Linked DNA regions of Struthio camelus. The protein of the gene in region 1 purifies or fractionates together with the protein of each later gene. This does not show direct contact. Links are inferred from orthologs where the notes say so. Each region holds a gene or a part of one and is shown on either strand. Other genes may lie near its edges.

Evidence for each region.
Region 2: the proteins of CUEDC1 (region 1) and TOM1 purify together in Homo sapiens (co-immunoprecipitation; 3 studies listed by BioGRID and IntAct, with this or other methods). This does not show direct contact. The link is inferred for Struthio camelus from reciprocal best matches to the Homo sapiens genes CUEDC1 and TOM1.
Region 3: the proteins of CUEDC1 (region 1) and SMURF2 purify together in Homo sapiens (co-immunoprecipitation; 3 studies listed by BioGRID and IntAct, with this or other methods). This does not show direct contact. The link is inferred for Struthio camelus from reciprocal best matches to the Homo sapiens genes CUEDC1 and SMURF2.

Annotation. Positions count from the first base shown.
Region 1 is NC_090957.1:20,582,026-20,590,113, forward strand, and holds the start of CUEDC1 (CUE domain-containing protein 1), read left to right. Parts: upstream 1-4,999; 5' UTR 5,000-5,106; coding exon 5,107-5,394; intron 5,395-5,995; coding exon 5,996-6,123; intron 6,124-7,008; coding exon 7,009-7,129; intron 7,130-7,831; coding exon 7,832-8,015; intron 8,016-8,088.
Region 2 is NC_090942.1:59,891,308-59,899,081, forward strand, and holds the start of TOM1 (target of Myb1 membrane trafficking protein), read right to left. Parts: upstream 3,030-7,774; 5' UTR 2,947-3,029; coding exon 2,895-2,946; intron 1-2,894. Other genes in the region: HMGXB4 (HMG domain-containing protein 4), read right to left, coding at 7,480-7,524.
Region 3 is NC_090960.1:4,577,545-4,585,089, forward strand, and holds the start of SMURF2 (E3 ubiquitin-protein ligase SMURF2), read left to right. Parts: upstream 1-4,450; 5' UTR 4,451-4,805; coding exon 4,806-4,857; intron 4,858-7,545. UniProt on the Homo sapiens protein: E3 ubiquitin-protein ligase which accepts ubiquitin from an E2 ubiquitin-conjugating enzyme in the form of a thioester and then directly transfers the ubiquitin to targeted substrates.

The DNA.
Region 1 (8,088 bases):
CTTGGAAAGACGACTACGACAGAAGGGCCTCATCCTGCACATCCTCCGTGCCTGCTCTGAATTTCTATTTGCCGGTAGAAACAACTGTAAGTTTTGTTTCCGACTGTTCACTTCTCATCCTAATTTTAATGCTGTTGTAGTCACACCTGCAGTCACCGAGTAGCCGCCTTGCCCAGCTGCCGGTTCCTATACGGTGAAATCCCTTTGCAGGAGCCTGGCTGAAGGCAGAGCTCAGCAAATCCGCTTTGGCTGAAGTATTTATTTTTGTACTACGCTGCAACGCCCCGGTCCCGCGGCGTCGGGGAGCCTCCGGGGACCGGCTGGGCTGAGCCGCGCCGGCAGCTCGCGCCGGGGAGCAGCGCGGGAACGGCCCCGGCGGCCTCGGCAGCGCGGCTCGGCGCGGGGCGGCCGCCGGGCCAGCGCCTTCGCCGGGCGAATCGGCAACTGCAGCAGGGCGAGAGAGGGGGGAATCGGGGCCGGTCCCGTTTGGCGGCGCGCCGTGCCGTGCCGGGCAGCCGTGCTGGGCGCTCAGGCCGGCAGCGCAGACCCGGTTACGGCCGCGCGCTCTCCCTTCTGTGCTTTTTAAGACCGACGTAACGTCTTTAGGGGAGCACAAAAGCCTTGGGATTGTTTTTAACTGCCTCTGTGCTGCTCGGGGCGGTCTCGCCGGGGGCGAGCTGGCCCGCCGCGGCAGCAGAAGGCCCCCTGCACCAGGCGCGTCCCGGCTAGGGCCTCAGCAGCACCCCACCGCCGTTGTCCTTCCTAGTTGCCCCGTCCCGGATGGCGGAGATGCTGCGGTAAAAGCTGGCGTCCCGCAGCAACGACTGCGCTCTGCGGTGCGAGAGGGCCGCCCGGGAGGCGGCCAGGGAGGGCTCGCCCCGGCGCTGCGCCCGCTCGCCCAACTTTCCCGGCGCGCCCGGGGGCGGGAGGTGGCCGCGGCGAGCGGGCGGCAGCGGGTCGCCCTGGCCCCGGCGTGTCCCGGTGGCCACGAGCCCGGGGACGGCGGGTGCACGGGGACGGACCGTCCCCTCCCCAGGGCTGCCGGAGCGCTGCAGCTCGCTGCTGACATTTCCCACGAGCTGCGGTTGCTTTTGCCGCCGCTCCTGCGCCCCGAGCGGCGGCCGGGGTGGGCTGTGCAGGCCCCCGCGCCCCGAGCAGCCCTGGGCGGGGGGATAAAGCGTGCGGCAAAGCCCCTGCAGGTCTGCGTGCTGCGCGGCCCCGGCGCCCGGGCGGCTGGAGAGTGCTGTTCCCGCTCTCCGGAGGCATTCCCGCGGTTGCAGCGGGGTCGCCGTCGGGCTCATCTCTCCCTCTGCTTCCGTGCTGATGGGTCTGGAATAAAGCTGGCCCCGTGCGGCGGCTTCCCGGCAGGGCAGGCGTCGAGGAGGCTCTAGCAGCTGCCCGTTTTCCCGTGCGGCTCGTCCTGGGCGCGCGGGCAGCGCCGGCCCTTGCCGGGCGCTGGGGCCGCCGCGCTTTATTCGTTCATTCATTCGAATAAAAGCACTCAGGGCCCTCTCTGCATGAACAAGGAACAGCCCAAACTGTTTTAAGGCAGGAAGAAAGCTGATGAGGCCACGGCTAAACGAGTGGTCATGATCTGACTTTGCCGACGGGGGGCACGAGGCGAAGAGCAGCCCGCTCGGGGTATGTGCTGGAGTCCTTTCGAGGCTGTCAGAGCTGAAAATTTGTCTTGCGAGATGAGCACCGTCGTCGCAGGCGGGCTGCAGCGGGCTCGCGGGAGCCGGGAGCCGGTCCCGGGAGCGCCGGGTGCCGGCCGGGGCAGCCACCGCGCGCCCGCCGCCGCTCTCCCTGCCGGCCGCAGCCAGGCACGAGCTTTCTGCTTTCCTTTTTGGGAAATCCCGACGGTTTTGCTTTTCTTGGCATCCTCCCAGCCCCTCGCCGGCATGGCCGCGATAGCGGCGCGGGCCTGGAGCTCCCTGGCTCGCTGCCGCCGCGGAGCGGGGCTGGCGGACGGGGCTGGGGAAGGCCCCCTACGCGGAGCCGCTCCTTTAGCCTTTCGGCTAACTCGCGCCAGGGCAGGGCTTTGCATCTCTGCGGATTATCAGCAGCGGCTTCGCGCCCCGGTCCCGCAACGCCGCTTAGCGCCAGATGTGCAGCGGGGCCTCTCGGGCGCCCAGATGTGCTGTCCCCAGCCCTACTTTTTTCGCCTTATGACCAGCAGCTTTCAATTATACAGCGCGCGGCGGCACTCAGCCGCGCTGTCTGCCAGGGGCTGCAATTTAAATGAGTCGTCGCAGGCTCTTATGTCATGTTGACGAACACCCTCCCCGGAAAGGAGCCGTTCGCACGCGATGAGCCGCTCGGCTCCCGCCGGACAGGAGCTCCCGCTCTGCCCCGAGGGGCCGTTCGGGGGCTCGAGAAACGGCGTTTCCCACCCTTCGGGGAGACCTTACATATACACCTGGCGGTCCAACGCTGGGGAGCAAACAGCCCCAACGGCATGCGCTTATCATCTACTCTGTAGATCTTGGGATTTTTAAACAGATCTGGGGAATTTTCAGCACGTCTCGAGATTTTGGGGCCTGATTTTGCCACTCGGCGTTTTGGAGACAGTATGTCGTTGCCGATCTCGCCGTTGGCTGCAGCAGGTCTCCTCTCCGCAGGGCTGCTTGGGTTTGGGCTGGGCTGGGGTTTGGGCCGGGCTGTTTGCGTGCAGGGGCCGGGCTCGCCGGCGCGCTCCTGTTCCAGCTCCTGCTCCTGCCCCTGCCCCAGCTCCTGCTCCTGCCCCTGCTCCTGCTCCTGCCCCTGCCCCTGCCCCTGCCCCAGCTCCTGCTCCTGCCCCAGCTCCTGCCCCTGCTCCAGCTCCTGCCCCTGCCCCTGCCCCTGCCCCAGCCCCTGCCCCTGCCCCTGCCCCTGCCCCTGCCCCTGCCCCTGCTCCTGCCCCTGCCCCTGCCCCTGCCCCTGCTCCTGCCCCTGCCCCTGCCCCTGCCCCTGCCCCTGCCCCTGCTCCTGCTCCTGCTCCTGCCCCTGCCCCTGCCCCTGCCCCTGCTCCTGCCCCTGCTCCTGCCCCTGCCCCTGCCCCTGCCCCTGCTCCTGCCCTGCCCCTGCCCCTGCCCCTGCCCCTGCTCCTGCCCCTGCCCCTGCCCCTGCCCCTGCCCCTGCCCCTGCTCCTGCCCCTGCCCCTGCCCCTGCCCCTGCTCCTGCTCCTGCCCTGCCCCTGCCCCTGCTCCTGCCCCTGCCCCTGCCCCTGCCCCTGCCCCTGCCCCTGCCCCTGCCCCTGCTCCTGCCCCTGCCCCTGCCCCTGCCCCTGCCCCTGCTCCTGCTCCTGCCCCTGCCCCTGCCCCTGCCCCTGCTCCTGCCCCTGCCCCTGCCCCTGCCCCTGCTCCTGCCCCTGCTCCTGCCCCTGCCCCTGCCCCTGCCCCTGCTCCTGCCCTGCCCCTGCCCCTGCCCCTGCCCCTGCTCCTGCCCCTGCTCCTGCCCCTGCCCCTGCCCCTGCCCCTGCTCCTGCCCCTGCCCCTGCCCCTGCCCCTGCTCCTGCTCCTGCCCTGCCCCTGCCCCTGCTCCTGCCCCTGCCCCTGCCCCTGCTCCTGCTCCTGCCCTGCCCCTGCCCCTGCCCCTGCCCCTGCTCCTGCCCCTGCTCCTGCCCCTGCCCCTGCCCCTGCCCCTGCTCCTGCCCTGCCCCTGCCCCTGCCCCTGCCCCTGCTCCTGCCCCTGCTCCTGCCCCTGCCCCTGCCCCTGCCCCTGCTCCTGCCCCTGCCCCTGCCCCTGCCCCTGCTCCTGCTCCTGCCCTGCCCCTGCCCCTGCTCCTGCCCCTGCCCCTGCCCCTGCTCCTGCTCCTGCCCTGCCCCTGCCCCTGCTCCTGCCCCTGCCCCTGCCCCTGCCCCTGCTCCTGCCCCTGCTCCTGCCCCTGCCCCTGCCCCTGCCCCTGCCCCTGCCCCTGCTCCTGCTCCTGCCCCTGCCCCTGCCCCTGCCCCTGCCCCTGCCCCTGCTCCTGCTCCTGCCCCTGCCCCTGCCCCTGCCCCTGCTCCTGCTCCTGCCCCTGCCCCTGCCCCTGCCCCTGCCCCTGCCCCTGCCCCTGCCCCTGCCCCTGCCCCTGCTCCTGCCCCTGCCCCTGCCCCTGCCCCTGCCCCTGCTCCTGCTCCTGCCCCTGCCCCTGCCCCTGCCCCTGCCCCTGCCCCTGCCCCTGCTCCGCCGGCCGCCCAGGTTTGTCTCGGACTCGCTGCCCGCCGCTCAGGGCAAAGCCCTTGGACGCGACGCTGTGGATCTGCAGCGTTGCTGGGGTCGCTCGGACGGCGGGCTTAAGGCAGCAGCGAGTTTGGCCCTGCGTTTGCGCATGAGAAGCAGGAGCGGGGTAATCTGTTTATGGTTTTACAGTGAATGTTAATCTTGGATTTGGTGGCTCTTCCCGGGGGCTGAGCTGGGGCGCTGCAGACTGCTTCTGCCCCCTGCTCTGGAAGCGTCGGAGCTGGGTTTTTTTCTTAAAGAGCAAGTCTAGTGTGTTTATAAATAAGTGTGAAACCTGGAACGGAGCCATCTGTGGAGCCCTTTGGAGAGGAAATAGCGGTGTTTTCTGAACGGGCTTGCAGCGGGTCCATGGCGTTTGGCCCGCGGCGGCGCGGCCGGCCCGGCTCCGGCCCGGCATGCCCAGGGCGGGGGCTCCGGCCGCGGCGCGGGCGGCAGCGGGGCCGAGCTGAGCGTCGCCAGCTGAGGCGAGAGGCCACGCTGCGCCCCCGCCTGCTCTGCAGGGCTGCAAAAAGAAGATTTTAAAAATCCCCCAAACAAAAAAATAATTAAAAAAAAAAAAGAGAAAGAAAAAGCCCTTGAAGGGGGGGTTTCCAAGAATGTTTTTAGATGAAAGTGGTTCCCAAAAACGTTTTCTATGGAAACCCAGGTGTCCTGTCTGTGCACAGGGACGCCCGAGGAGGCTCCGGCTCGGCCGCCTCGTCCCCCGGCCGCGCCGGGATCCCGCCGCTCCGCCCACGATGCTCTTCCCAGATGGTGATTTTTTTTTTTTCCTTTCTCTTTTTTCCTCTTTCGCAGGAGGGCCGGGGGGGCCGCGGCGCCGCCGAGGGCCGTGCCGCGATGCCGTGCCGCGGCCGCCCCGGCCGGTGCCCGTGACGCCCGGCTGGCCCCCCGCGCCTCCCCAGCATGACGAGCCTCTTCCGGCGGAGCAGCAGCGGCGGCTCCCGCGGCGGCTCCGCGGCGCCCGAGCTCAACAACAGCCGGCCCGGCCGGCAGGTCCGGCGCCTGGAGTTCAACCAGGCCATGGAGGACTTCAGCACCATGTTCCCGCGCATGGACTACGACATCATCGAGTGCGTGCTGCGGGCCAACCGCGGCGCCGTCGACGCCACCATCGACCAGCTCCTGCAGATGAGCCTGGACGGCGGCGACGGCGACGACAGCTCCGACTCGGAGGACAGCATCCCCCCGGAGGTGAGTCCCCGGGCTGCGGGGGGCCCGGGATGCAGCCCGGGATGCTCTCCTGTCGTGGGTGTTTGAAAAGCGCTCGCTCCCGTGGGGAACGCGCACGCCTACGGGATACGGTGGCTGACACCAAAGGCTGCTGATGCATGCAGCCGCGGGATTGCTTTTAGCTAGCGCTGGCTTTGACCTTCGTGATGCACGCTGAATTCGGAGGGCGTCTCCGTGCCGCCCCTTGCGTCTTGCAGCGTCCGGTGGGGCGGTTCGCCCCGTCCCCGGGCGCGCGGGAGCAGCAGCAGCAGGGGAGCAAACCTGCCTGCTTGCGGCTTTGAGGTGCAGGCGCTGGGGCGTCCGATCCCGCGGGCGTGCAGGACGCAGCCTGGCCGGTTGGCCCGGGGGGTGGTGGAGGCTGAGCCCGACCGCTTTCCTCCCGTCCTGGCCCCCGAGGGCTGGGCGAGCGCAGGGTGCCGGCGGCGCCGTGCCGTGCTGTGCCGTGCCGTGCTGGCACCCTGCTCCTGCTTTGCACCGGGAGGTTTTGCCCCATCTCTCCTTGCAGCTGCATTTGGCAAATGGCTCCCCGGTTCGCTCTCACCCCGTCTTTCCCATCGCCCAGATCCTGGAGCGGACGCTGGAGCCGGACAGCTCGGACGAGGAGCCGCCTCCCGTGTACTCCCCTCCGGCCCACGAGGCGCCGGCGCTGGGCAGCCGCCCGGCCCCCGCGCCGCCCGCCCCGCCGCCCAGGTGAGCGCCCGGAGCCGCGGCCGCCGGCGCCGGCGTCGTGCCGAATGCCCGACCCAGCCTCGCGCCGGCCGGGCCGCGCAAACGGGCTGTCGCTGAGCCTGACCCGGCCTCTCCGAGGGGCGTCTGGTGTCGCTGAATTAGGGCCGGGCGAGACGAAGCCAAGGGAGATGAATGAAGCTCGCAGCTGGCTGCAAAATGCCGGCGGGGCGCTGGGAAGCCGACAGCTGCGGGGCCGGGGAGCCGCTCGCGGGCCGAGGGGAACGGCAAAAATCAGCGAGCGGAGCCGGGGGAGCGGCAGCCGCCTCTCGAAAACCCCAGGTGGCTTCTTCGGCGGAGCCGCGGCTGCCCGACCTCGCAGAGGGCCGGTGGATCGAGGGCCCAGCTGGGGACCGGCGGCGGGAAGGGGGCGTCTGCAGGCCCGGGCCGGCGCCGGGGGCTCGCCGCCTCGTTTCCTTGCCTCGTCAGCGTGGCGAGCCTTGGAGAGCTGCTCCCGCCCCGAGCGGGGCGTAGGGGCGTAGGGGCCCGCTCGCGGCGGGCGCCGGCCGCAGCATCCCGCCGGCCGGCAGCGAGCGGCTGCCCCTGCCGCCTGGCAAGCCCATGCTGCGGTGTTAGAGCGCCCGCGCTGCAAAAGGGAGAGGCGAGGGAAAGCCTGGCCTTCCCGGCTGCGGAGGAAGGCTCGGAAAGCCATTCCCAGAGAGTGGGGACTAAGGAGAAAAGCCCGTCACTCTGGTGGCTTGACGCTGACTCGGTGGGTCTCTGGAGGCAGAAGCGATGTCTCGGTTCCCGGGACGAGGCCCGGGATCCCGGGGAGCTGGGCGCCTCGTGCCGCGGGTGCCGGCGGGGTTTCGCTCCGGCCGACGGCGGCTGCCTGCGCTTGCCCCGCAGGACGGAGGCGCCCGGCGGCGCCCAGCCCCGGGGCCGCTACCGCAACTGGAACCCGCCGCTGTTGGGCAACCTGCCGGAGGACTTCCTGCGCATCCTGCCGCGGCCGCCCGCCGGCGCCCAGGTGAGCGCCGCGCCGCCCGGCCTGCGGGCTCTGCAGGGCCTGGCGCTGCGCCCGGCGCGTCCCGCGGGGCCCCCAGCCCGCCCGGAGCGGGGCCCCCGCGCTCGCCTCTTCCCTCCCTTTTTGGCTCCGGAGCAGGCTGCCACGTTTCCAGGAAGGACTGCCGGGAAGCTCAGCTTCGCCGGCTCTATTACCTTTCTGGGAACAGGAGCGTGGCCAATTCCTTCGGGCTTCGGCGGGGGGAGAGCAGCAGCTCTCCTTTCCTCTCCTGCTGCTTGCACGCTTTTGCTTTCTGTGGCTCGCCGAGAGCAGCTAAGGAGGCACATGGATATCGCCATGCAGGGACTGCTGCTGCCCGGCGCGGCTCTGCTCCGCTCGGCCGCGGAGGGAGCCGGCGGCCGGGGCGCTTCTGGGTGGGGGGATAAGAGCAGGGATTTGGCTGGGGGAGACCTTCCTGCCCGGCCTCGCCGACAGGCTTAGCCCCGGCCTTTCCATGTGAAGCATTTGCAAGGCGAAGCGGGGTCCCCAGCTGTGCCACGCCGGCTCCCAGCTGAAACAGCCTCCGCTCCCGGCTGGAAATACCCTTGCGCTGCTGACTCTCGCCACGGCCCGCGGGCCGAGCCGGCGGGAGCTGGGCCGCGGCGCGGGGCTCCCCACCGAGCCGCCCGCCGCGGCCCGACGCCTCCTGTGCCTGGCTCCGTGCAGGGCTCCCGCGGCGGGCGGCCGGCGGTGCCGCGCGGCCTCGGCCCCCGGGGCCAGGGCGCCCTGGAGCAGGAGCGGCGGTGGAAGCAGTACCTGGAAGACGAGCGGATCGCGCTCTTCCTGCAGAACGAGGAGTTCATGAAGGAGCTCCAGAGGAACCGCGATTTCCTCCTCGCCCTGGAGAGAGGTGCGAAGCCCCGCGGGGAACCTCGGTCGGGGCTTGGCGGGGGCGCGCGTCCCGCCGCGGTGCTGCCCGGGGC
Region 2 (7,774 bases), on another chromosome or scaffold:
GCTCTCACCAGCTCCCTCTTCCCATTCTCAACTTCTCCTGTTTCCACACACTTAACCTCCTCCCCCCGCCCCCCAAACTCTTCTTTGTCTCTCTATGACATGTTTAGTTTTCTCCCCTATCTGCCTTCACTCACTGGAATAACCAGTCTCTGTCCCTTGCTATAATTACTAGCTATTCCAAACTCTAAGCTTTAAGAAAAGAGAATATTTGTGGTTTCTTCTCCATTTTCACACTCTACAGTTGCCTTGTTACTACTAGAGTGCCTCCTCGGAGTTAGGTTTTCCATATTGAGGTTTCTCGGAGCTCCTAGGTAGAGGCCAAGGGGATTATCCTTCTGTGTGGAGAGTCCAAACTCTTTGGAAAGTTCTCTGCTAGCCAAAAGTATTGCATTAAAAAAAAAAAAAAAGTCTGTATTCCTCTTATTTAGGAGGACATATCATGATCTAAAAACAGAACAAAAGGAACTTTTGTGAACAAATTCCAGGACTGGGAGTAAGAAGCTGGAAAACCTACTCCTCTGCAGTTTGCAACTGACTCATTCTGAGACAAATCACTGAGTTTATCTAAGCACCAGTTTCCATGTCAGCAAAATAAAGAGGACTTACTAGATTAACACTAATGAAGCAATTTCAGAACATCACTGGAGTGTGGCACAAAAGATTTTTTCATTCCACCGCCTTCATCCAAAGCTGTTTTAGACTTTATAAGCTGTATCAAGCATACACGACTTTGCTGAAGTAATTTACAATGATGCAGTATAAGCCTTCTGTAGACAGCCCAAAGCAGCAGCACTCTGCAGGTTTGATGATCAGGCTCAAGGGTTGTATAAGCAGCTGACACTGACCTACCAAACAACTTAGGGTAAGTCATGTTCGCGTCTCAAATTAAATAGTGAAGATAGCATTTATCCATGTCCCCAGGATGTTGCTAGGCAATGATCAGAAGGAAAAAAGCATTCATATTTACAGCCACCAGCCCTTTTAAGTCCTCCACACTTCAGTTCCCTTCTCAGACACTGCAAATCCTCCAACCCTTTGGATTCCCGCAACCTCAACCATTAAGATCTCTCTACTGTCACACCTCTGGTACTAAGGATTCTAAATTCCTGTCTGACAACACTCTTGAAATACTTATTTTCTCTTCTTTGCTGTTGGTTTGTTACTTGGAAACCCTGTCTTTAACAGAAGAAAAGCCCAGAGGGAAATCACTTATAATTTGGCTGCTACACTGATCAAAAGATCTGGAGGGCAAGATGTAATCTGTAACATCTAAAGATTACTTCATTTTGCCTCAACCCAAATGCAAAAATCATATCCCATACATTCATGCAGGGAATCAAAGAACATTCATTCTGAAAAGGGCGGGAGAATGCTCCTCCTGGAAAGCGTGATGCAACATGTGACAACTGCCTGGGGGGACATCAAAGATCATCTGAAACTTCTCATTACCTAGTAACTTCCCTGATATCTTTGGCCAAAGCGATCCTTCCCCTACCTTGCAGCAGTGAATCTCACCTATGTTGTCCAACACGCTAACATGGGCCATATCACAGTGCCCTATCCATATTGTTTGGACACTGCTTTGGGCAGCAAGAGCCTCTAAAATAAGTAGGACTTTTAAAAGCACTACCTACATCAACTGCTTGCTCCCTTCCCATACCATACATGACACAATCAGTGCACTACACATGTGGACCCCACACGCAAGCAGTTTGAAAAGTACTGAATTAGGAATCAGTTTTTCAAGATGAAGAACACAGGTTGGCACTAGTGATAAAAAGCAACAATGAAGAAGCGTATAAAATTACAAATGGCCATTTTCTATCATGCTGGATAGATTAAACATGTGACATCAACTGTACTACCTCAAGCACAACCAGAAAGCATGTAATACAAGAGGGGAAGAAAAGAACCTTTGTTTTAAGCATTTTAAGCACTATATCTCTGTTTTGAGACCATTTTTGATCAATTTCTTCCCCTGTGTTCATCTAATTGACCTGAGCACAGGGTTTAAAAAAAGACTTAGTAGTCCATCAGCCTGAGAGGTCACAGAGAAGATGCCATAAACCTGTAGTTGATTTCACTTCCCATGCTGATTTTCAGACCTATGAGAAATCCAGCGGTGCAGGGGTGGCACTTTCCTCCTCGTGGAGCTGCAGTGTGGCCCTATGGGGGGGGGGGGGCCCTGCGCACTGCAGACCTCAAGGTTCAGCAGGGGCAGCACCAGATAGAGCTGTCCTCCTTCAGAGCAGGGGGGGTGGCACTGAACCCCCCTGGGAAGAGCCCCAAAGAGCCTGGAGCAGGCCTAACCCCCCCCCAGCCTCCCAGCAAAGCCCTCCAGACTCTGTCATGGCCCCCAAGGAGGACCCCCTTCTCAAGGAGAACTCCCACCCTTCTCATCTAGAAAGCTGATAGGCCCCCCGTGGCCTGAGCCCCAGCCAATCAGCGACCCCCCACGCGCCCCTCTCCGTATGTGCCCGCTCCCCCCACCAGGTCCTCATGCAGGTGTCGGCGGGAACGGGCCCGAGCCAATCACAGGTGGCGGCTGCGCGAGGGGGCGTGGCTCGGACCACCGCTGCTTCGGCCCCTTTAAGCAAGAAAACTTTGCCTCGCCATCTCGAGACCCCCCCCCCGCACACGGATTGGCTGGTCGACGGAGCCGTCCAGCTCTTGCTGCTCGCCATTGGTGGACAGCGCCTGTCCGTCAAAGCGGCACGCTCCCCTCATAGGCTGGCGCTCTCTCAGGCCCGCCGTGGAGGCGGGGATGGCCGCGCCCCCTCGGGGCTCTCGCCGCCGCTTCCTGGAGGAAGGGGGTCCAGCCAGCGGGCGAGCCCACCTCAGGGGCGCGGGGGAGGGCAGGGGAGCGGCGCGGCGCGGGGTCGCGGGAGCCTCACCGATGCGCTGCCCCACGGGGGAGCTGAAGGGGTTTCCTAGGAGAAAGTCCATCGCTGCCGCCGCGCCGCGATCAGCTGACTCCGCCGGCGCCGCTCACGTGACGCCCGCGCGCCAGGCCGGGGCGTGCCTCCGAGGCCCAGCCACGCCGTGACGAAAGCGCCCCGCGCTTAACGGCCGCCGCCCCGCCGGTGGGGGCGGGGCCGGCGGAGATGGAAGGTGGCCGGTAGTCCGTCAGGGACGGAGCCACCAGAGCGCTCCGGCCCGGCCGCCCTCCCCGCGGAGGGGCCCGGGAACGGGGCCGCTCGCTGAGGCGCGGAGCCGGCCGCTGCCGGAAGCGCGGCCTCCTGTGCGGCCGCCCGGCCGGGCCCGGCCCGGCCCGGCCCGGCCGCCGCCGCCGCTTTCGCGAGCGGCCACAGTAAACCGTGTGTCGGTTGCAGCTTCAGGCTGGAGCGCTTTTCTAACCTGACCGCTTTGAGCGGTTGGTCGTGGCTGTTGTTCACCAGTGGGGCTGAAGTCCACCGTGCGTTTTCCCTGCGGGGAGGTTTTGAATGCTATTTTAGTAGACAAGGCAGTTGTTTGCAGCCACAGCTTTGAAGAGCCCAGCTACCAACAAGTACGATTTCCCTGCACGCGTTCTTCCTACCTTCTTTCACAGCTATTTACAGTGTGGCACCAAGACAGGCTGATGTGGCTACTGATGTATCTTTTTGCTACCATTTTCTTACTGAAACACTAGAACAGTTTCCTCAAATGCTCTTCTGTATCTATGCAGAATAAACATTACCTAGAGCTGCATTGAAATGCGTGAAAGCATGTAGTTATTGGCTTTTATTTTTCCATAAACTTCTGTTGAAATGTACTTAAAACAAGGAATACAAGTTGGCTAGTAAAGTATCACGTTCTGCAACAGCCTCATGTCTTTGGACATCACACACGCTGAGGGTGTAAGTGGCCAGTGCATCTGTCAGACCCTGGAAATGGGGACATGTTAAGAACTAGCACTGATTATGATCTAACTTTGCCATGCCTGTAGTTCCTTTCACTGTCTTGATCTTGAGTCCCCTGTACTGTTTCACCTTAACACCACAAAGGTGAACTGAAATGAGAGAACAGGGAAGAAAAATGCCCCATGCTGTAGGATTTGCCATGCTAGATGTTATCTTTCCCTTCAGGAAGGTCTCCAAATTGTCAGTATTCTTTGAGTGGTATTTCAGGTGAACTGTGCTATTAGAACTAGAATTGCTTGTTCTTAAAACAACTGAGATGAAGGAATTTAAAATTAAAAGTGTTTTGCCGAGAAACACGAAATACTAGTAGGAACAACTGTTGCAAGAAAACATAGTAAACACTAGAAATGAATGACAACACTCCAAATGTTAAAAAAAATTATATTGTTAAGTACAGTACAAAAGAGTTTCTTTATATAATTGTAATGTAATCTGGATCAAACAGCAAGGAAATAACAAAAATATAAAAACTGCTAAGTGTCACCAAAGTTTTCCCTCTAGTACCAAATACCACAAGATACAGATTATACAAAGTGTACAAATTTTAAATAAAAATACAATACACTAGGGTTGTGTGTGTTTTTAAACTCTTCAAGAGTTTTCAATTGTACAGATGACAAAGCAAGAGCTGATCTCCTTCTGTTTCTTAGAGATCTAGCCCTTTACCACAATGCTCTCAGTTGTAAAGAGCTGGAAAGAGCCAGTGACTTTGTGCCACTCCCAATAGCAGATGCTTTAGTAAGGGTCCAGGATCACAAATTGAATTAGACTGCCTCCCTCCCAAGCCTCTTCCCAATTCCAAGATCTCTGTGATTAGTCATATATTGTCCAAACAGGTATTCTGTGGTCTGAGGCTTCAGATAAGAATTGACATGATAGTTTCAGAATCTTCTGCTTCATCCACTTAATTTACTGAGAAAACAACATTGAACTGAGAAAAGGTCTGTAACAGACAGACTGCTTTGCACTGGCACAGTTGGGGAATATATGGTAAAGAGGAACGGGGAGAAAAACCCTCCTGCACACCTGAGGATTTAATTTAAATATGATTTGGGACTCAGCCATAATGAGGGACAGCTCACTTTCAACTGCCCTGAAAAAGAGAAACTACACTTCAAATTGGAAGTAGTCCAAAAGTGCTCTTCTATCATTTTGAAACTTTTATGCTATAAGGGCTGGAGATCCTGGGGTCAAATTAAAAAGCTTTCTATTTCAGCTTCTACCTAGCTTCACAAGATAGTCTTGTTTTTTACAAACACTTAAAGTCTTGCTGCTGTTTCCCCATACAGAACCAATGCATGCTACTGCACGTATAGCTGATGCCTGCAGGAAGTGAGGTGACGCACACCTGATTCGTGTTTTCCACACACTGTTGGTGGAGGGAGGGATTTTTGCTTTTAAATTATATACATATATATATATATATATACACACACACACACACACACACACACACAGAAATATACAGGATAAATTAAAATCTGTTACAGATATTGGTAAAAGTTAAATACACATGATATGAACACTACATACACATACATACAGACACACAAAAACCTATATGAGAATCAAGTGCTCTCCTGCAGCTCTTCTTCTAGAGGAGCAGAAAACCAAAATACCAAGTATGTGGCTGGAAGGAAGGGGAATCAGTCCAATCAACTGACATGTGCCTTGCTCAGCCATTACTGCTTAAAACTGGTCATTAGTCACTGCCTCACAGCAGCACCGTGGCTCTTTCAATACTGCTGGTGAAAGGGATAGGATCAGCGATCTCAGAAACTCAAGTCCTGTGTTCACAAAACACATGCAAGACGAACAGAAGCAATCCAGGTTTCTCCCATCTGCTACCACTCTCCTCTCCACCAGAAGACTGTGCTGCATTCAGAGGGGCCTGGACAGGCTGGAGAGGTGGGCGGGGAGGAACCTCCTGAAATTCCACAAAGGCAAGTGCAGGGTCCTGCACCCAGGGAGGAATAACCCCATGCAGCAGGACAGGCTGGGGAGTGACCTGCTGGAAAGCAGCTCTGCAGAGAAGGAGCTGGGAGTCCTGGTGGACAAGTTGAGCATGAGCCAGCAGTGTGCCCAACAAGGCCAATGGGATCCTGGGGTGCATTAGGCAAGAGTGTTGCCAGCAGGTGGAGGGAGGTGATCCTGCCCCTCTACTCAGCCCTGGTGAGGCCTCACCTGGAGTGCTGTGTCCAGTTCTGGGCTCCCCAGTACAAGAGAGACATGGCGCTACTGGAGAGAGTCCAGCGGAGGGCTACAAAGATGCTGAGGGGACTGGAGCATCTCTCCTCTGAAGAAAGGCTGCGAGAGCTGGGCCTGTTCAGTCTGGAGAAGAGAAGACTGAGAGGCGATCTGATCAACGTGTATAAGTATCTGAAGGGGGGATGTCAAGAGGATGAGACAGGTGCCCAGCGACAGGACAAGAGGCAACGGGCACAAACTGAACCACAGGAAGTTCCATCTGAACCTGAGAAAAAACTTCTTCACGGTGAGGGCAACAGATCACTGGAACAGGTTGCCCAGAGAGGTAGTTGCAGAGAGGAGTCTCCTTTGCTGGAGATATTCCAAACCCGTCTGGATGTGATCCTGGGCAATATGTTCTATAAGACCCTGCTTGAGCAGAGAGGTTGGACTAGATGATCTCCAGAGGTCCCTTTCAACCTCAACCATTCTGTGATTCTGTGATTCTGTGATTCTGTGATTCTGTGAAAGTGGGCTGACCAAGCCCTGGAAAAATCAGCAGGAGGTTCATTCTCACAAGCCAGTGCAGTCTGTTGATACCTCACGCTAATGGCAATTTGGATGCCAGTCCACAAGAAAAGAACAAATGTTTTGCCATCTTCACCTTCAAACCAAATGCAAGCTACCAGACCAGCCAGCTGACGCTGACAACTTTCAGTCATCAGTCACTGAAGAGGGAAGCTTGGAAGTTGTGACTCAGAGGTGAAGACCTCTATATCTTTTATCAGCTATCCAGCTTTTCCCTCAAGCAGTAGATTTTATACTGAAAAAGTTAGAAACAGGGCTGGTGAAGAGTTCAGTTCTACTCCTTGGTCCACAATAAATTAGCATCTCTAACTGCCCACAGAATAATTGTCAGGAGGTCATCTTGTCCAACCTCTGCTTAAAGAAAGTCTAACTAGAGCAGGTTGCTCAGTCAGTTTCTAAATAACATCAAGGATGGAGATTCATACCCTCTCTGGACAATCTGTTCCAACAACCACTCTTAATATTTTGTTTTTTATATCTAGAAGTCGATTCTCTAGTGGGTGCTTCCCCCACTAACAGATCTGAATTTAAGGCTAGTATCTCAAACGCTTTCTGAATTCTTCATAAAAATACTTTCAAATTGGAGTACATTTCATCCACCAACATAAAAGGGTTCTCTCAGCTTAAATTCACAACTGTTCATGAAATTAATAGAAGTCAAATAGTTACAATCCTATGTATATAGTATACAGATATAAAACGTTAAAATCCTACACACGGAGCCCTTAGAGAGTGCCGGCGTAGTGCATATGCACGCAAGTCAGTTATGCAGAGGTTGAGCACATCCCAGGATTTCTTCCTATCAAAGTCCAGGCATGATGTAGGCAATGTTGTCTAGTGTGTTTGACTGGGAAAAGAAATTCAATATTGTTTAACATCAGATAATGACTCAAAATCCTTCAGAAATGACACAGATAAGGAGGTTATTAAGCATCTTCACTGTCTTATAAATTACCATATGATGAGACCATACGACTATTGCCTAGTCATCACTACCACTGGTAGGCTAATTTCCACATTCTTGGAAATATAAGTAAATTAAACACAAAAGTAGCCTTGGTATTTGGAAGCAACTGGAAACAAAGAAAACACTTAAG
Region 3 (7,545 bases), on another chromosome or scaffold:
GGGAAGATAACAAAAAGAACCTCCTAGAGGACAAAGTTCTTCTGTTCAGGGACAGGACAAAAACGTGATGGATCTGCATGAATTTAGGAAGTGCCTTTGCTGTAGCAAGAAGTTATGAAAGGATTAAAGAAGGATTAAAAGAAAAACCCGCACCAAAGAGACAGGCTAGGAGAGTGGTGCCCTTAACAGTCAAAGATGTTGATGGAGTAGGTCAAGACTGAGAGAGCTCACAAGAGAACAGCATTCTAGGTGGCATCTGGAAGTCATGAGCTGTGGAAATTAGTGAGGCATAAAAAGATTCTTCAAGCTGAGTAAGGACACCAAAATCAAGGCACCTTTTGTTTCATTATCTTTCAGACAGTGAAGCAATACAGGGTCTTGCTCCAAGCTCATCATCTTTTACTTGTGTGACTCTCACAGGGCTTGTAGCGGCCACGGTCCAGTTGCTTTTGCTCGCTGATCTCTTGCTGAGTATTTCAGCACAGTTAGTATTTTGCCTATCTTTAAAGGAAACACCTCGCTATGGCCATTGCTCTTTTGAGAAATAGTTTCTCCAGATTCCAGTTTTCATAAAATGTTGGAATCTGAGCTTGATGTTGTAAGTTTATCATTATTAATGACTAGATTTTACTGAGTAGCGCATTGGGACATCAACTCAGGTATGGCTTACTTGGCATTAGGCACTGTATTAACATGATAAGAGAAAGTCCCTGCTTTGAAGATCCTTGCTGTTTGTCATGGAAATTGGCTTGGGACAGAGAGAACATGCTAGTGTAGAACACAGTATGAAGTCAGGAAACAGAAAGACTCTTTTTTAATGATGTCTTGCATAGAGGTACACAGGAATGCTTTGAAAGTGAATTAGTTAATCAGGTAAAATAAGAAATGAACAGGAAACGCTGATGGTATAAATGTTAATCAATTCATATAATTCATACTTGTTTTTCTTTTTTTGCCAACTTGGACAGAACTTTACTGAAAAAGAAAAACATTGACATTATAAGAATGAGATCAGGGACTTGCATAAATATTTCAATTTTATTTATCTTCAAATCAAATGGGACCTGACAAATTTAAATCCTAACGGGGTCATCTAGGTGTATATTGCTACAATGCTTTTCCTCTCAGAACTAGACTGTTAGGTGGCAGAAGTAGCCATTTAGCATTAACGGTTGCACATACAATGGAAATACATCATAGAGAAAAGGGAATAGAAGTTTAATTTTCTTCTGATTAACTCTGGTTTTAATGCCATGATCTCTAGTGGTGGCATTTCTAAATCGCACCAGGTAAAGAAAGACTAGTAGGAAGAAATACAACACTGACAATTGTAAGTTTACTTATTTTTTAAAATTGAGGAAAATACTATTTTAGCCTTTCAATTTACTCACAAAAGCTTAACAATAGGGTCAGGACTCTCCTGCTTTCCTGATATCATCACAGAAGCTAGGGAAGAATGTGGTATAGCACCAGCCAGCTCTCATTACTGCTAAAGGAATGTGGTGTGATTAAACCTCCATACAGAAAGAAATGGAATGTAATTCTTACATGTTGATGTGCTTTGAACACATACCACATGCTGAGGAATGAGTTTCCAGTATATTCTTCTATTTCTAAAGATGGAGAGGACCTTACCTCAGAAAAATTAACTACAAATATCCTCTTCTGAAAATGAGTACTATTTGGTTAAAGACATTTGTTCACATTTTCCAGTGTCCAAAACCTCTAAATCCTTCGAGAAATATCTGAATGCAAAGCCTTCTTTTTCTGCCTATTGGGAAATTCAAGAATCAAAGCCCTTTTTTGTGCAGTCATGGAACAAAAGAAGTTTTTGTAGTTCCACTTTTTTTTTTTCCCAAAAGTTTTACTAACATAATACCAACCACTAAATTATTTTGTCCTTGTGGAGCCTTCTGCAGCCCCGCTGGGGTCCTAAAGATGGTTGAGCTTACCCCCTTCATATATAATTTCCTGCAACCCTTGAGACTGTGTCTCAGTCGCTAACTTCTGGCTGCAGACGACTCGGTGGAACTCCCTCCCGAGTCCAGCAGTGAGGCTGTCATCCAAAAGTGAGCTGTGGGGTGATGCAAGGCACTCCCTTCCCTCCGGATCTCAGCTAGCTACCTCATCTTGAAAGGATTTGTTGCTCAATGATATCAGCCCAGAGTGAAACACGGATCACTTGTCAGCAGTTAATGATGATATTTCCCTGCTTACCTCACAAGATCAGCACTATGGAGTGAAACCTCTTTTCACCCTTGAAATGGTAATGCACAAAGACAAACTTTACTGTAAATGCTTGGCTTATAAAACCCAAAGCAGGATCAGTGAGATATCTATTACCTTAATCTCAGAGTATTTTGAGAACTTGGGGGATAGCACTGGCACAAGAAACTCCCTGGATCATGAAATCTGTGTGAAATTCTTTTATTGGAAAAGTAGCACTTTCAGTCATCAGGTACTGTCAATATTTTTGGTCTCCCGCATTCCCTGCAGTTCTTGGCACTTCGCAATGCTTCCTGACCGCTGCTCAATGCAGTTTTTGCACAGATTCCTCACTGTCTGGCAATTTTACTCAGTGAAGGGGAACAGCGAATAGAAATACTGATTTCTCTATAGAATAGTGAGATATGATGGGACAGAAACATCCGTAGAACACCCAGGGTACATTTATAGTAATGTTTTTACAAAGCCAGAAGGAAAAAAGACTGTATTTTGCACCTGGTACGTTTGTCTGTCCAAGTGCAACCTGGTCTAGGTCATTTCTCCTCATGTTAGTGGAGAGAGGACACAGTCCTGACCTAAATGGGGTCATTACATGTTAGAAAAATCTACTGTAGCCTAGAAATATGTGAAGCATGTGAAAAGTGGCTTTATATTTTGTTTTTCTATTCTGTTCAGCAGTGGCCAGGTAATGTTGCAATATTTGCAAACCAGCTGCCATTTGCTTTATGCAGTTAGTTTTACAAAAGGCTAATAACCTGGCTGTATGAATTCGCAACAGATTGAAAATTTAATATGGCCTTACATCATTAAGGCTGGTTTTATTTATTTATTTTTTAATGCAGGAATCAGGACACCTGGAACGTCTTTGTGGTGTGTCTGTATTTACATAACTAAGAAATAACTTTTTAACTGTTTCAGTACAGCATATAAATTACATCTGTGCTGTGAAATTAATGAAGATTAGACTTGACTAGTTTTAAATGTTCTTTGCTTGAAAAAATGGCTAAGCAATGAATCAGTGCATTTTCTCTTATGCTTTGTCTATTCTGTAAAGAAAGGTCCATTACTAACACTTGCTAATGTTGTGATTAACAGGCATTGCACAGGAAAGAAATAGCTCTGTATGAAGAAAGGGCTCGATCCCAGGACTCCTCCACTCCCAGGTGAATTAACACTGCAGCAGTGGCGCCACTGCAACAGGAAGCACTGAAAACTTCCTCCTGCTGCTTGAGACATGCTGTGGAAGGAAGGAGATGCGAGTCTGCACAACCCAGCGCTCTGAGCACCGCATCCCACTTCCGAGGCCTTCAGTGGACCCCGGTTTGACTTAATACAGCCCAAGCACTGACCTCCGTCCGGATGGGACACCTCCAGGTATGCTTATGGTTCAGTTCTGCCTTCTGGGTGACTTTACCTGTGTTAGGTAGAAGCTACGTTATAAATTCAATGAAGCATGGGTCACGTTTTCATCCCACGTTTGAATCCTCATCCATAGGATGGATCCTGATCTATGACTACCCGTGCGATAATACGTTACAGGCTGCCCGTGCAATGACACAACCGCATGATTTGTGTGCAAAGCATAATAAACCATTAGTAAGGTTATGAGTAAGAAGAGGTGCTAGTCATCTTCTAACGTGAAGGTGACTGTGGCAACCTTCAGGGCTCGTCTGGGAGGCCCCATGTCCTCCACAGGCCCCCCTGAAAGCTGCCTGCCGGTGCTGCGTCTCTCGCCGCCCTCGCTTTCCTGCAAAGCCTGGAAGTCCCTGAAAGAGTCACCGACGGGAGCAAAATTAGGCCAGGCAGCGCGGATACAAGGCAGCTTTTCCCTTCTCCGGGACGGTCCTTTGCCAGACTTGGCTGCTCGTCCCTACAGAGCGCTGGCCACCAGCGAACTAGCCCAAAGTTGAGTGGTTTCCACCACCAGCTTGCCAGACCTCACTCAACGCAAACCATCACCCAGCATCAGAGGTGCTCAGCCGCGCCACCCAACCTCTCGGCGTGCCTTCGCCCGCCCGCCCCGACGGCCTTGACCCCTTCGGCTTTCTCAGTCCCCTCAGCTCTCCAAAAACAAACAAACAAACAAAAAAACCCCACACGGACACCCCGCTTCGTTACGGAGCTCCGCTCCCCTGTCTCCACGCCACGGCCGTGGGCACCTCCCCGCGCCCCACTGCCCGGGCAGGGGGGGGGGGAAACACCCTGTGGGAAGCGAGGGAGAGGGGAGGAGAAGGGAGGCGGCCGCCCGCCGTGCGGCTCCGTCGCCGGCTTTGTTGTGCTGGCCGCCGGGCTCCGGGCTAGGGGGCGGGGAGGCGAGGCGGCGGCATCTCCGCCTCCTCCTCCTCCTCGGCCCCGCTCATGGCGACGCTGGGCACATCCGGGCTTCTCCTCCTCCGCCTCCTCCTCCGGCGGCCGCCGCCGCTGTTGCTGCTGCTGCTGTTGCTGCTGCTTCCCTGAGCGCCCGGCCCGACTCCATTAGCGCGTCCCCTCCCCCCTGCCCGCCCCGTCTCCCTTCCCGGACCTAGAGGCAGGGGGAGCCCCGGGCCAGGCAGCGCCGAGCCCGAGGAGCAGCCGGGGACATGTCCAACCAAGGGGCCCGGAGAAACGGGCCCGTCAAGCTGCGACTGACAGGTGAGGGCGAGCGCGGCGGCGGGGCGGGCGGGGGCTGCCATTGCCTGCCCCCCTCCCCCCCCCCGCCTTCTCCGCCTTTGGCCTCCGCCAACGGTCCGGCGGCGGGAAGGGGGCGAGTTCGTGAGGGAAGAGCCGAGAGGAAGCGAGCAGGGGTTCGGGGGGCGAGGCGAGGCGGCCGTTGCGCGCCGCGCCGCGGGGCGGGAGGGGAGGGGAAGCCCGCCGTCCGCGGGCAGAGGCGCCCACGGAGCCTTTCCGCGCGCCGAGCCCAGCTGGAGGGGGGCGGGCGGGGGCGAGCCGCCTCCGTGTGTATTTGAGATTGAACCTGGGGCCGGAGCAGCCTTTCAGGCCTCTTGTCTCTGTGTGTGTGTGTGTGGAGGGGTGAACTCTTCCCTCGCCGCCCATCGTCTCCCCGCCATAGAGGGGAGGGGGGGGGGTCGTCGTGAGGAAAATGTCCGTGCCCCGCGGCGGCGGCGCCCAGGCTGGCGGTGAGGGGCAGCCGGCCGCTGCCGCCCTCCCCTCCCGGCCCCGCCGCCGCCGCCCTCCTCGGCGCGGGGGGAGCCGGCCGGTGTGAGCTCCTCGGCGCTGCCTCCCTTACCCTGTTCCTCAGCTCCCCTACCACCCCAACCCCCGTGTTTCCCCCCAACCCCCGGCCTTCTTCCCAGTGTAAACTTGAAAGAAACTGTCACACTCTTTGTTTTGATCTCTTTGTTTGTGTCCCCCCCCCCCCCCAGCCGACTTCCTCAGTTCAAGTCGTACCCAGTTGGTTTGCCCTCATGCCTGACGCTGCCAGCCCGCTTTCAGGAGATCGCTTGACCCCTCGTGTTTTTTAGATACCGTCAGAAACTCTTCACCTGCGTGCTGGGAAGGGAAATAAGTTATTTCTAAGTCCTTGAAGTATGTGGTTTGTTTTTTTTTTTTTTAAACAGTAAGAACCCAGGCAAATAGGTTTAGAGGAGAAACTCTGGGGAGCGTTGCTAGAGCTTTCCTGACAAAAAAAATGTGTTTCTTTCCCTTTTGAAAGAAAAGAGTTGATGAAAAATTTTGTAAACCCACACCAGCACAAAACACATACTTTGTGTTCTAATTCTTAGTGCATGAAGGCAAGAGACTAGAAAATAGTAGCTAATATTACTAATACTGTTGCCTTCAAATAGTGTGTTTTACCAGGATAGTGGTTCTGCTGGCAAAAAATATCCAATCAGCACTAAAAAAAAAAAAAAAACAAAGCTGGAAGGGTTGGTATATTTACTTTTAAGTGCCCGTGAAATATTTCCAGCTACTGTCTAATGAAGAGATGTTTTCCTATTTTTTCAAAATATGCTATTTTTACAGGGAAAATGAATGTATCTGCTTATGTTTTACTTTGGAAATACTTGGCCTAAATTTGTAATCTAGTTTTCATAGAGATTTGTGAGTGTCTCTATATTCCACTTAGAAATAAAACTCTTAAAATAAGCATAGCTGGGACTGATGCACGGAACAGTGCTGCCTTGTTTTTACAGTGTGTTTTGTAGCTTGCTCTTTAGGCTATTGCTGTACTGATGCAGTACTTAATTCTTTTTTTTTTCCTGAGTGCTCAGACTTGCTTTATTTTTGAAACATTAAAAATGGTCTGGAGCCTCATGTGAAAGTATGGAAAATACCTGTTTAGGGAGTTGTCTTTTTCACCTTTGGATTTCACGTTCTATATTTATTTTATTTTTATTAAGGACTAAGTATATAGTCATCTGTCTGTGACAATATAAATATGTTGTGGGGGATTATGACCGTGAGCAAGGAATAAGCAGCAGTTTTACTTACAGAGTTTTAGGAGACTGCGTAGCTGTGCAGTGCAAAAAGAAGCAGATACAATCTTAAGACGTGCCTCTGAGTTTTTTGTCGTCTTATATTTTAGGAAGGATATATGCAGAACACAGGATGCAGGCAAAATTGCCTTTATAGGGACTCTTCCAGCTCTAGCAGCTGTTTGCAGTTGCTGAGTACCAGTTCTGGTTTTTTGGAAGTTTATATGAAACATCAGCCTATTTCTCAAGTTAAAAATGCTTGAGGTATTTTGTGCTTTGGTTAATTGCATGTTGTTTCACATAAAGTCATTTGTTATAAGGAAGTTTTACATGTTTAAGGAAAGCTGTTATAAGCACTGAACTGAACTTTATTAATTGAACTGACATGTTGTCAGTTCTTGCCTAGGAATAGTTTTAAGCGCTCTGTGTGGTTTTGATTACCCTTTTTGATTGGAAAAGCAGTGTGAAGACTCTTGAATTCTAAAACTGTTTGGAATTAAAAGAATCTGTATATTCCAGTGTTTTTAAAAGTTTATTCTCAAACTGGCAAATGTTATTTAATCGTAATTTTCTTTGGCCTTACAAAACTAGCAGTCTTCTGTTTTGGCTTGAGTATTTATAGGATTCATTTTGCAATCATTGTGTAATGCTTATCTTTTCTGTTCATTATCTCTAAATTAGATAGTATAGATTAAAAAATGGATTTTGAGAGCTGGATTCAATTAGCAGTTTTTCAGGACATAAACATTAAAGGTTTAGATGGAAAACATTGTTTTGACTGACTGGATAAATGACAGGGTAATGTTTGATGTGAGTCCAAGAACTGATCTGGAGCTAGTGCCCAACTTCTCAGTCCATCTTGAGGAGCCAAATAAAATATTTAACCTAGGCCTCATTTTGCAGA